Arabidopsis thaliana: one gene and its partner. The protein of the gene in region 2 interacts with the protein of the main gene of each other region in a pairwise test. Each region holds a gene or a part of one and is shown on either strand. Other genes may lie near its edges.

Region 1 (5,891 bases), on a different chromosome or scaffold from region 2:
TTGGACCTAAACTTGATCACGAGAATTTGTAACCTCAGCCGATTAGCCCGAAATATTCATCAGAACAAGACGAAGACTCCAATTCTTCATACTCCGTCCCAATCAACCGCATCAACTTGATCAATCCACCAAGGAGAACCGATGCTCTAAACAAGCCCTTTTGGCGGAGCAAGGAATTACCTTCACTTGGGAGAAGAATCAAGCACTCAATGAACAAGGATCCATTTGATGACTTCTGGAATTTTCATCTTCCCGAAATTGGAAGAGTTAATTTGAGCCTGCAAAAGGCAACCAAAAGAGAAAGAAAGAAAGTAAATCCGAACAAGTCGGAAAGAGAAACCGGCATCAAAACAGGAAATCTAAAACACAAACCAAAAAGCTCTGATTGAAGACGGAGATTACAAAAGAAAAACAGAGCTCCCTCTCTGTAAAAGATATGAAAGAGAGAAGAGATAGAAAACTCTTTTCATTAAATGTTATAATACGAAAATGATATTCAACTATTTGTTCTCAAGAACAAGATGAGTGTCGTTAACATTAGAGTGTGAATATATTTTTGTTATAAAAATTGTCATGCGTTACGGAAAAAACAAAATGGTCATGCGTTTGGCTACACTGGTTCTTTTGGGCCTAAAGGATTTTATTTTACGTGCTCGAGTAACTTGGGCTATGGCTAGTGGATTTAGAAGTGGACTGTGTCAAAGAGTCAAAATAGATAGGCTAAAATTTCTGGTGGAAAGAATTAAGCCGAAAGGTCAACGGTATGGTACAAAGCAAAAAGGCAAATGGACCATTATTGCCAAACTTTTATTTTTATTCATTCAGATTTTGTGTCAAATTGCCAAGTTTAGAGACACATAACAGTAGTACACTTTTGCACTGACTATCAATTTAAATACGAATTCTCACTGATTAAACTAATTAAGACGCATCATTATAAATTTCTTAAATCATAAACACTAGAATCCAAAATCGATTTTCATTTTTCCCTCTTTTCTTTTTTGAATTCTTTCCTTTTTTTGATTCCTTCTTCTTCTTTAAATTCAAAATAATCTCTTATCTCTATGTCGATTGATGGTGCGAAAGAGAAAAAATTGTGCCTCAATTTGCTTAATTAACGAAAATTCGTGATTAAATTGAAAATCAACATAAAAATTGAGAATTTAAATTACCAGATACAGAACTCATAGTTTAAATCAACAAAAATAGTAAACTACTGATTTAAATGACATTTTTCCAAAAAAGCAAATTGTACAACATATTGTGTGATTTGGACCATATGGTACCAAACCATTATAACTAAATTAGATAATTTATGTTTATATTATTATTTCTTCTCAATATATAAGAGATTTATATAATAACCAATAACTATAAAATGATGAAAATTAACAAAATAACATCATAAGCTCAATACCTTAGGAGAGAACATATTTAACGTGTAACTGTCAAAGTTACTCCAAACAAAGTTTGTGTTCTTTTTTTATAAATAACAATGTTTGTGTTGAATGACCTCAATGAAGAGATTTGTTTGATAGTATTAAATAGCTAATATTTTCTTAAATTTTAGTATAGTTATGACATATTTGTATATGGCCTATTTGTATATGATCAGTATTATTCTGTTTTATTGTCTTAAAAATGATCAATATTATTCTGTATTTATAGATAAAAGGCTATTTTTCGCTTTGGAATAATTTTTAATTTCAAGAAATACATACTAGTTTTATTTATTCATTTAGACATGTTTGACATGAGTAGTTGATGAGTTTGTCAATTTTGAAATACCCACTGAGAAAATTTATTTTGTTTTACATAATGGAACTTCCTCTAACTTACGAAACTCTTAATTTTAATATAAATAAACAAACGAAAGAAACGAAAATTGGTCAGTTTTTTTTTTTTTTTTCTCTTCTGGTCAATGCCATCTCTCTCCCTCGTCTTTTCAGTTTCCTAATTTCCATTGTTTCTTCAAAACAACATTTCACAGATAGCTCCACCACGACCTGACGAAGATCCTCCGCGTGAGCAAGTTTCATGTTCTTCTTCTTCTTCCGATTCATAGTTTTTTTTTTTTCCGGTAACTTGTCATCAATTAGATCTCGTCCGAAGTTGAATCTTTAGTTCGCGAGCTTTTGGACAACTTCGAGGTAAAATTCGTTATTCTCTACACAACTTCCGATTAACGCTTGTGTAGCTACTCTCAACTTTGCTGCTTGATCCAATCTCGTCTTAAGTTGATTTTAGCTGCGAATTGGAACCGAATTGGTTTTTATGTAAAACTGTTACTTTTTTTGTGCGTGTATTGTTAAGAATGATGGATCTAGTTATATAAGCTTGAAAGAAGTTAGTTTCTTTGGTAGGTCTTAGCTTTGCAATGAAATTGTACGAACACGATGGAGTTGATTTAGAAGATGGGAAGACAGTAAAATCCGGAGGAGATAAACCAATTCCAAGAAAGATACATAACCGGGCTTTGTTATCCGGTTTAGCTTATTGCATTTCATCATGCAGTATGATACTTGTCAACAAGTTTGTTCTCTCCAGCTACAACTTCAATGCTGGGATCTTCCTTATGTTATACCAGAACTTTGTCTCGGTGATCATTGTGGTTGGTTTGAGTTTAATGGGTCTAATAACTACTGAACCACTTACTTTGAGGTTGATGAAGGTCTGGTTTCCAGTGAATGTCATCTTTGTTGGTATGCTTATCACAAGCATGTTTAGGTAAGAATGTGTTTCTACACCTTTATTTTGTGTTGGTTTGTTGAATTATATATCGATGCTCTCTTAATTCTCAAGCCTATAAGATTACTAAATTAGTAAAGTCAACTTTTTGGAGTACTAAAGGTAGTTATAAGAATCTGTACATCATCTTTACAGCAGATCGAGGATTAAATAACGTGTAGACACTTAGGTGAAACAGATAGATATTTTGGATTTACTTCACAGTAGGTCGAGATATATAGATATGTATCGTATATGTGTATGTAGGCGGTGTTTGAAGAGCAGATTGAACTTGATTGTCTATTTGAATTACATTTTCTTTGACAGTTTGAAATACATCAATGTAGCAATGGTCACTGTCCTGAAGAATGTCACTAATGTGATAACTGCAGTTGGTGAGATGTATCTGTTCAACAAGCAACATGACAACAGAGTGTGGGCTGCTCTCTTCTTAATGGTATGTTTGTCTGCTTTAAAAGTATTTCTAACTGATTCTGTAAATTGTACCTGAGAAAAAACTATTCTCAAGGAACCTATTTCAAGCTGCACATAGATAGCATTTTGATTGGAGTTTTTGAAAGATATCCTTGTCAAACAACGATTCTATACTGTTTTGGATTTGGTTTTCTCTTGTTTTCTCAAAGCACTCTCTGATCATCAACCTTAACCAATAAAGTCTAAAGCATATCTTCTTATTGATAAGTGATCCACCCTTTTGTGTGCGTACACAGTTACACTTGTCGTAGCGGCTTTCAGTGGTGTGGCATAGCCTAACCTTTCAATACTGTTGGAGATACATGTTTTTAACTGCTTCCACAATTAGTCTGCCAGGGAAATGTAATCATGTTTTTTTGTCACGGCTACTCATTGTTATATGTATATTCTATTTGTTTTTGTATAGATCTTGAATAAGTAGAGGATAAAGTTTTGATTAACCTGTGCTTCTTTCGTCCTTCATTTGCAGATAATTTCCGCAGTTTCTGGAGGAATAACAGACCTATCATTCAATGCTGTTGGCTATGCTTGGCAGATTGCTAATTGCTTCTTAACTGCATCGTACTCGGTGAGTAAACATTTGATCATTTGTGTTTTCTTTTCCCAAAATGTTAGGAGTCATTTGAAACAATAAACACATATATGAAAAGGAGATCACTTAAAAACCATGCTTTCATGTCGAGTATTACATGCTGTTTGGTTAAGACTAAGTCAATAAACTAAACAGCCTTCCCTATAATCATTACGATACTGGCTTGCTTTTGAGTTTTAAGATGCTCACGAGATACCGAGATTCTGTTACCTTAGAAAATTTTATAGCTTGCAATCCATTGTCACTGGTAACCTGAGTACTTCACTCGTTGTTAGAAGTAGGAATAGCATGTTAAAGAGAAGACTTTGGGCAAAGAATGCAAATTGACACCATCAACTTCTCAGTTCTCACTAGGTTTTCCATTGCTGGGTCAAAAAACGAGAGTGTTAGACTGTTAGGTTCCCATAAATTTATCCCTATATCCTGTCAACAAAAACCAAGTGTTTGGCTTGTTAGCTAGGCTACTATACTCTTATAAAATTTGCCACCACTTTTGACTTGCCTTATATTTTGTTGTTTTGCAGCTGACTTTGAGAAAGACCATGGATACGGCCAAGCAGGTTACTCAATCTGGAAACTTGAACGAGTTCTCCATGGTCTTGCTTAATAACACACTTTCATTACCACTTGGGCTTCTTCTTTCTTATTTCTTCAACGAGATGGATTATCTCTATCAAACGTGAGTTCCTGTCCTTATTTCTGTGTCAATGGAAAATGGTTTGTGTCATCTGAAAACAAAATGGTGTATTATATTTGTGCAGGCCACTTCTACGATTACCAAGTTTCTGGATGGTCATGACACTTAGTGGACTTCTAGGGCTTGCCATTAGCTTTACTTCAATGTGGTTTCTTCATCAAACTGGAGCAACAACATACAGGTAGCAAATTAGAGAGAGATAGAGCAATTTCAAAACTTTGCTTAAGAGAGTGTTGCTGTCCCCTAGCCTTCTCCATATATCCCTTTCCTATGTTTGCTTCTTTGTTGGTTCAGTCCTAACTAGATACATCTTTCGCTTTATTCAAAATCATAGCCTGGTGGGATCTCTAAACAAGATACCTCTATCCATCGCGGGGATCGTTCTTTTCAATGTACCGACCAGTTTGCAGAACTCAGCAAGCATACTCTTTGGTAAGCGTTCTCTCGATCAGTTCCCTTTTCCAACTTCTTGAAGGAACACATATCGCTTGTGTTGTGTATTATTATTAAACCTGAGGTGGCCTAATTTGCAGGTCTTGTCGCTGGAGTTGTATTTGCTAGAGCCAAAATGAGGGAGAAGTCCTAAAATACTAACCATCTACAACACATTTTACTACATCAATCAGTATAGGACATGGCAAAAGCTGATTAAAGCAGAGCAATGAGTTTATAACCTCAGAATTCTATGCACGTTATGTGTTTCTTGTAAAAGCTTTCGCCACTCTACTTGTATAATGTTAGTAAAATATTAATGAATGTATCGATTCTTGAGTGGTAAGAGAAGTGTTGGTTTATGTGTTTCTTCGTTTTTACCAATTTTCCAGTAAAGAAATTCAATGGTATGAGATTTCAACATAAACTGAAAACCCTAGCCACCTGATGATCAAGAACGACGGAAAGATGATGAGAGTGAGAATTGCGAAGGAGAGATCTGACTTATGCGACTTGACTGCTGCTGCAATTAAGGCTACTTACAATACACGGAACCCATGCGAAGTCGAGCGATGCATCGATGTGTTGAATCACTTGAAGTCTCTGTCTCTTTCCGTGAAGGATATACGATTGTCTGAATCAATAGTTAAACTGGAGACTTTGAGAAGTCATAGGAACCCTAGAATCCGTAAGGAAGCCCAAGCCTTGTTTCATTCATGGTTGAAGACATTCTACGCACATGGAAGCGACAACTCTTTCACAGCTGCTCTTACCAAAGATCGTCTGAAGATGAAGAAGCATGTTCTAAAAATGTGTTCGGAGTTGAAGAAGAAAGAAGAACCGGGAACTATGGCTCGTCAAGTCACTGCCTTTTCGGTGTTGAAGAATAAAGAAGACGAGAGATCTCAGACGACTGTTGAAGCAGTAGAGAGTAAGACAACGATCAAA
Region 2 (7,593 bases):
CTACTATTTTTATTTTTTTAGCCAATGAGAGAGCTCCACTTCATACCCCACTTTTACCAATCGAGCGATTTCACAACCAGTCTCACCCATGTCGCGTTGAGCGCGTGTCTACGATTTCTAAAGGGGTTTGTCCACAGAAATCATGCCTTTTTTGATCCACGCAACTCACTCTCAAAAATCCATCGCGTGTCTTATTTTTTTTGGTTTTCTTCTCTAAACCAAATTAAACCGAACCGAGATCAATTTGAATTTCAAAACCAATGTAAACCCATCAAACCCATCGCTGTGAAAACAAAAAGCTCGGCCACTGTAACAACAAAAATGGAGACGACACAACTTGGAAGAGAAATCAACTCTAAATAGCCAAGAGAATGTTCGAAAACCCCCTCAAATCCGATGCTTCCTTTGATTCCAACCTCCAAAAGCCCATCTGCTCAAATCTTCATTTCGAGGATGAGGACTCGAGGAGTATTACAAGGTACCTCAATAGAATCAATGGCTTCCATGGATTTTGAAACTTTACTTCTAATAAACACCATTGTAATGTCTTGTTGTGAAGTTGTGTAAGGAACAAAGGATAGTGAAAGCTGAAGAGTGGGATTCGTTTATGGAGTTTCAGAGTTTTTTTTGACTAAGTGGCCTCTGTTTTTGATTCTTCAGTGGTCAATTTTGTGATGGGATTTGATTGAAATTGGAGAATGATTTCATGAAATCTCTTCGGGCTGAGGTTGATTCATGACTCTTTCATTTTTCTAGTGTCTCATTGATGATAGACATAAGAAGCATACTTAAGGCCATAGAGAGTGGTGAATTGGAGGCAATCAAGCCTTTGCCTTGGTACCCTAAGAATCTTTCTTTTCACGGAAGGAGATTAGAAAAAACCAGATACTTGAGAGGTACATTTTCATGCCAGTTGCTTCAGAACAAGTATTCACTTCCATTCCCTTACTTGTGTTAGTTCAGCGCTTGAGAAATATTATGATCTTGTTTCAGACTTTCAGCTGTCAAGAGACAAGGCCCGTTTTACTATCAGGTTAAAATCATGGTCAGCTTCTTGTCCCAAACCACATTGTTGCAAGGTTTTGTAATAAATCTTGGCTCGATAATGCATTCAGAAACTTCTTCTACTCATATCTCAAAATATGTTTTGAATTCTAAACCCCATGGTTATCAATATAAAGAATATTAGTATCTATTTTTCTCTTTTCTGGTGTGGTTGCAATTTATCGTTTGTCTCTTTCGTGGAAACCCTTAATTCAGGCGGTATTAAGTCTTTCTCATAAAACTTTCTAAGTCAAACCAAAATTCCAATCGAAATTCTCAGCATGAAAGTCTCGAACACGTTTACATTTCTTACGCACCCAAAGACTCTTGCTTCTTGCACACGTCTCTCTTGGCTGTCCTTTACCATAACGAATTTGATGAGATTGTTTCAAAATAAAATGTTTCTTTTTGACAAGTCTGGGATTTTAATGTAATTATCAATAGTCATGCACATTATACAACATTTAAAAGAATACGGGGGTTGTTTTGCAATTTTCAGTAGTTATACACATTTATCCGTAATCACTCTGCTCAAGAAGCTTCTCCTCTTGTGTGATTCTCCTGCAATCGCTGGTGATGATTCCTCTAACTCTTTCGTCGCCGTCTCTGAATCGGCTCGTTTTATCCACATCACGTTACTCACACTCTCTATTTCTCAGCAATTTCAATTCGCTCTCTCTGATCCACCGGAAATTACCGTATAAACCTCTTTTTGGCGCAAGGTGTCATGCTAGTAGCAGCAGCAGCAGCTCTTCCTCCTTCACGGCAAAGTCTTCCAAAGAGATTCGTAAAGCTCAAACCAAAGTAGTTGTCGACGAGAAGCTTAGCTCGATCCGGCGACTGTTTTCGGAGCCGGGTGTTGGAATCGACGCTTATATCATACCTTCACAAGATGCACATCAGGTTCTCTTTTTTTAAACCTCTTCTTAACTCGTGATTACGAATTGAATAGGAAGTTCTAGTAGATTCAAAACTGTTCAATTGTGTGTGTTTTTAAGTCAATTATTGGTCCAAGTGGGCAAGTTTGACTATAGAAAGGAGTAGGTAGAAGTCTACTAGAGAGCTGCAAATTTGTGTTTTGTTTTCTATTTTTCTCTCTCTCTAAATAGAGACGTAGAAGCCATAGCTATCATAACCTGTTACTTACAAAACAAACAAAATGATTCCAAGCCAATCTAATTCCTTTTCTGGTAGTGTTATTACCTTGTATTTCTTCCTCCTGGGTTCCCTTGTTCTACGCACTCTTGCTTCTTCTAGGCTTCACTATTGCCGCCATGACCAAAGGGATGCTCTTCTCGAGTTCAAACACGAGTTTCCGGTAAGTGAATCGAAGCCAAGTCCATCGTTGAGTTCATGGAACAAGACTAGTGATTGCTGTTTTTGGGAGGGTGTCACGTGCGATGATGAATCTGGCGAGGTGGTTTCACTTGACCTTAGTTATGTCCTTCTCAACAACTCTTTGAAACCAACTAGTGGTCTTTTCAAACTCCAACAACTCCAGAACCTGACTCTCAGTGATTGCCATCTCTATGGAGAGGTTACTTCTTCACTAGGAAACCTTTCTCGTCTCACGCATCTTGACCTTTCGAGTAATCAGCTGACAGGTGAAGTTCTGGCTTCGGTCAGTAAGCTAAACCAACTTAGAGACCTTTTACTTTCCGAAAACAGTTTTAGTGGTAACATTCCTACTTCATTTACCAATTTAACGAAGCTTTCTAGTTTAGACATCTCTAGCAATCAGTTCACATTGGAAAATTTCTCTTTCATACTACCAAATTTAACCAGCTTGTCCTCCTTAAACGTTGCCTCTAATCACTTTAAATCCACGCTTCCATCTGATATGAGTGGACTCCACAACTTGAAATATTTTGATGTGCGTGAGAATTCATTTGTCGGGACTTTTCCTACATCCTTATTCACGATTCCTTCGTTACAAATTGTTTATTTGGAAGGAAACCAGTTCATGGGACCTATAAAGTTTGGGAATATATCTTCATCTTCTAGGCTTTGGGATCTAAACCTTGCTGATAACAAATTCGATGGGCCAATCCCTGAATATATATCTGAAATTCACAGTCTCATAGTACTAGATCTTAGCCACAACAACTTAGTTGGGCCAATCCCCACTTCTATATCAAAGTTGGTCAACCTTCAGCATCTTAGTCTTTCAAACAATACCTTGGAAGGCGAAGTGCCAGGTTGCTTATGGGGATTGATGACAGTGACACTTTCCCACAATTCTTTCAACAGTTTTGGAAAGTCATCATCCGGAGCTTTGGATGGAGAATCAATGCAGGAGTTGGATCTTGGTTCGAATTCACTTGGAGGACCTTTTCCCCATTGGATCTGCAAGCAAAGGTTCTTAAAGTACTTAGACTTGTCCAACAATCTCTTCAACGGCTCAATTCCTCCTTGTTTGAAAAATTCCACTTATTGGCTTAAAGGGCTAGTTCTGCGTAACAACAGCTTCAGCGGATTTCTCCCAGACGTATTTGTCAATGCTAGCATGTTATTATCACTTGACGTTAGCTACAACCGGTTGGAGGGAAAACTTCCAAAATCCCTGATCAATTGCACTGGTATGGAACTTCTGAATGTGGGAAGCAACATAATCAAGGACACTTTTCCATCCTGGTTGGTTTCTTTGCCATCATTACGTGTCCTCATCCTCAGATCTAATGCATTCTATGGGTCGTTATATTATGACCACATATCTTTTGGGTTTCAACATTTGAGACTCATTGATATATCACAGAATGGCTTCAGTGGAACTTTGTCACCTTTATATTTCTCCAATTGGCGTGAGATGGTGACATCTGTCTTAGAAGAAAACGGCTCTAATATAGGTACAGAGGATTGGTACATGGGCGAGAAAGGGCCCGAGTTCAGCCATAGTAATTCGATGACTATGATATATAAAGGAGTAGAAACGGACTTCTTGCGGATCCCATATTTCTTCAGAGCCATTGACTTTTCTGGAAACAGATTTTTTGGGAATATACCTGAATCCGTTGGTTTGTTGAAGGAATTGCGTCTTCTCAATTTGTCAGGTAACTCATTCACAAGCAATATCCCTCAGTCATTGGCAAATTTGACAAATCTTGAGACATTGGACCTATCCCGGAATCAGCTATCAGGTCACATCCCTCGAGATCTTGGTAGCCTCTCTTTTCTGTCGACCATGAATTTCTCCCATAACCTTCTCGAAGGTCCAGTTCCACTAGGCACTCAGTTTCAAAGCCAACATTGTTCTACATTCATGGACAACCTCAGACTCTACGGTCTTGAGAAAATCTGTGGAAAAGCTCATGCCCCGAGTTCTACACCACTAGAATCCGAGGAATTTTCGGAACCAGAAGAACAAGTGATTAACTGGATAGCAGCGGCAATAGCCTACGGACCTGGTGTGTTTTGTGGATTAGTTATTGGACATATCTTCTTTACTGCACACAAACACGAGTGGTTCATGGAAAAATTCCATCGAAACAAGCGCAGAGTAGTCACCACAAGTGCTCGTTGAACACCATCACCTCTCACAATTTCTCTGAGTGATTGTGAAACGTATATGTTTGTTATGATATCTGTCAGTTGTGTTATGCATAAACTCTTTGTCTTTGTAATTTTCTACTTTATGGTATTGTAAGAAACGGCTTTGGTGGTATCTGATCTTCTATATGTTGGGTTGAAAATGCATTCAGATTTTTCTTCCTAGTCAAATCTCAACTTGTCATAAGAGGATGTTTCAATTGTAGAGCCAAATGGAAGTTCTTCTTCTTCTAAATCACAGTATGAAATTCTCCAACTCGTGTTTTATTTCATTCTCCCCAAAGTTTCTTGCTCCGCTCACACGTCAATCTTGCTGTCCCTGAGTATACCAAATTCGATTTGGAGATTCAAGATAAAAAATAAATATGATTTGGACCAGTGCGGGGGTTGTTATGCATCTATGCAATTGTTTTTGCCATTTTGATATGGGTAATGTGTTGTTTCGGTGAATTTTACATACTAGGAGCTTAAGATCTACTTTCATAACTGATGTTGCCTGTAATATATTTCTGTGCCATTAGGAAAGTCACAAATTTATGTTTTACTTCTAAATGTATCCATAAACTGCCTGAGTTTTTCATGGCTTGAGTGTGATTTTTCTCCATATTTTGTACTAGAGCGAGTTCATCGCAGAGTGCTATGCCAGGAGGGCTTATATATCAGGATTTACTGGAAGTGCTGGTACCGCTGTTGTCACCAAGGATAAGGCAGCTCTATGGACAGATGGCCGCTATTTTCTTCAGGTTTTGATCATTATCGTCCTTTAAAATTATTTGATTGCCATCTCATATTGAAAGGAAATGTGGAGTTTCTTATCTACATTCTCTGCAATTATTCTATCAAAGGCGGAGAAGCAATTAAACTCTAGTTGGATTCTCATGCGGGCTGGTAATCCGGGAGTCCCCACGGCGAGTGAATGGATAGCTGATGTTTTGGCGCCTGGTGGAAGAGTTGGTATTGACCCTGTAAGCTATTATTAAACCTTCTAAATTGTGTCTCCTTTTGTCCTTAAATATTGTAGTTTGTGGTTTGTTATTTACAAGACTTTGGAATTCATGAAGGGAGCAGTTCCTTTTTTCCGCCGATGCTGCTGAGGAATTGAAGGAGGTTATAGCAAAGAAGAATCATGAGTTGGTTTACTTGTACAATGTAAATCTTGTGGATGAGATATGGAAGGACTCAAGGCCAAAGCCTCCAAGCAGACAAATAAGGATACATGACTTGAAGTATGCTGGTTTAGATGTGGCCTCGAAATTGTTGTCTTTGAGGAACCAAATTATGGATGCTGGCACATCTGCCATTGTAATATCCATGCTTGATGAGATTGCATGGGTGCTTAATCTGGTAATACTCTAGCATAGCATCTTACATTTGAATCTGTTAGTTTTGTGCCACTGATATCAGCTTATCCTTCACATAGGTCCCAATGTATTGATGTTGTATTCTGCCTCTTCTGACTGCAGAGAGGGAGCGATGTTCCACATTCACCTGTAATGTACGCATATCTGATTGTAGAGGTTGACCAAGCCCAACTTTTTGTAGATAATTCTAAAGTAACGGTGGAGGTGAAAGATCATTTGAAAAACGCAGGGATCGAACTTAGACCTTACGATTCCATTCTTCAAGGAATAGATAGGTAAGTACTTGATTGTCCATGTCCATTTATGAACTTCAGAAAAAGGAATTTCCCTCACTTTGAGTTTTCTCAGTTTGGCAGCACGAGGAGCTCAGCTCTTGATGGATCCATCAACCCTCAACGTAGCTATCATTAGTACCTACAAATCTGCCTGTGAAAGATATTCGAGGAATTTTGAAAGCGAAGCCAAAGTTAAGACAAAGTTTACTGATAGCTCCAGCGGATATACTGCCAATCCTTCTGGTATTTACATGCAATCTCCTATTTCGTGGGCAAAGGCCATTAAAAATGATGCTGAGCTAAAGGGAATGAAGAATTCTCACTTGAGGTAAAGAAAGCCATTGCTTTTACGATATTTTCCTAATCCAACTGCCTTTATAGGATTCAACTTTTCTCTGGAAGATTTTGGTTTCTTTTGTACTTTCAAATGCTAAGTATCTTAGGCTGACCAAATATATATGGAGAAATGCTGCTGCTCTAGCTCATTTCTGGAAAATTTTGGTTTCTTTTTTTCCTATGTATGGGAAATGTCTTTGGCTGACCACTTATTTTATGCAGAGATGCTGCTGCCCTAGCTCATTTCTGGGCTTGGCTGGAAGAAGAAGTGCATAAGAATGCGAATCTAACAGAGGTCGATGTGGCTGACAGGCTTCTTGAATTCCGTTCAATGCAAGATGGTTTTATGGATACAAGCTTTGATACAATAAGTGGTATGGTTATTGTCACCCTTGTTGGTGGAACTTGCTTCTTAACACATAGTCAATATACAGCCAGTGAGTGATATGTATTCCTTTCCTCTAATTACCCATGCAGGTTCCGGTGCAAATGGTGCTATTATACATTATAAGCCCGAGCCTGAGAGCTGCAGTCGTGTAGACCCTCAAAAACTTTTTTTGCTGGATAGTGGCGCTCAATATGTTGATGGAACAACAGACATCACCAGAACAGTACATTTTAGTGAACCTTCTGCCCGTGAAAAGGAATGTTTCACTCGAGTCTTGCAGGTGGAATATTTGGCTCTTCTTTTCCTCATCATTTTTGATGACCATTGACTACCTATATTGAACAGACGAACCTGTATGGGTTGCCTTGTCTGATTGGTATTTTGGTTGTAGGGTCATATAGCTCTTGATCAAGCCGTGTTCCCAGAAGGTACTCCTGGTTTTGTATTGGATGGGTTTGCACGCTCTTCTCTATGGAAAATTGGACTTGATTACCGCCATGGTACTCTATTCTATCTTTTGACTCTTCTTCCCAGAACAACTTTTTTGTAAGGAACTCATATTACTCTGATATTTTGCCTGCCAAACAGGGACAGGACACGGCGTAGGTGCTGCACTCAATGTGCATGAAGGTCCTCAAAGTAT

Evidence for each region. The genes of interacting proteins can lie anywhere in the genome.
Region 1: the proteins of AT3G05350 (region 2) and GONST1 interact in a protein complementation assay, tested with the Arabidopsis thaliana proteins (one large-scale study listed by BioGRID).

Annotation. Positions count from the first base shown.
Region 1 is NC_003071.7:5,686,790-5,692,680, reverse strand, and holds GONST1 (golgi nucleotide sugar transporter 1), read left to right. Parts: upstream 1-1,909; 5' UTR 1,910-2,150; intron 2,151-2,363; 5' UTR 2,364-2,377; coding exon 2,378-2,727; exon of another isoform or gene 2,728-2,971; coding exon of another isoform or gene 2,972-3,054; coding exon 3,055-3,184; intron 3,185-3,691; coding exon 3,692-3,790; intron 3,791-4,338; coding exon 4,339-4,493; intron 4,494-4,575; coding exon 4,576-4,692; coding exon of another isoform or gene 4,693-4,696; exon of another isoform or gene 4,697-4,845; coding exon 4,846-4,943; intron 4,944-5,044; coding exon 5,045-5,097; 3' UTR 5,098-5,365; downstream 5,366-5,891. Other genes in the region: AT2G13660 (uncharacterized protein), read left to right, coding at 64-389; AT2G13640 (Transcription factor IIS family protein), read left to right, coding at 5,391-5,891. UniProt on the Arabidopsis thaliana protein: Involved in the import of GDP-mannose from the cytoplasm into the Golgi lumen. Required for the luminal synthesis of a variety of plant cell surface components. Is required for the correct mannosylation of the glycosylinositol phosphoceramides (GIPC).
Region 2 is NC_003074.8:1,527,871-1,535,463, reverse strand, and holds the start of AT3G05350 (Metallopeptidase M24 family protein), read left to right. Parts: upstream 1-1,554; 5' UTR 1,555-1,620; coding exon 1,621-1,947; intron 1,948-2,102; exon of another isoform or gene 2,103-2,203; coding exon of another isoform or gene 2,204-4,564; exon of another isoform or gene 4,565-4,796; intron 4,797-5,207; coding exon 5,208-5,333; intron 5,334-5,435; coding exon 5,436-5,555; intron 5,556-5,658; coding exon 5,659-5,934; intron 5,935-6,053; coding exon 6,054-6,226; intron 6,227-6,299; coding exon 6,300-6,554; intron 6,555-6,784; coding exon 6,785-6,936; intron 6,937-7,039; coding exon 7,040-7,230; intron 7,231-7,341; coding exon 7,342-7,450; intron 7,451-7,538; coding exon 7,539-7,593. Other genes in the region: AT3G05365 (uncharacterized protein), read left to right, coding at 372-478, 757-896, 994-1,088; RLP30 (receptor like protein 30), read left to right, coding at 2,204-4,564. UniProt on the Arabidopsis thaliana protein: Catalyzes the removal of a penultimate prolyl residue from the N-termini of peptides, such as Arg-Pro-Pro.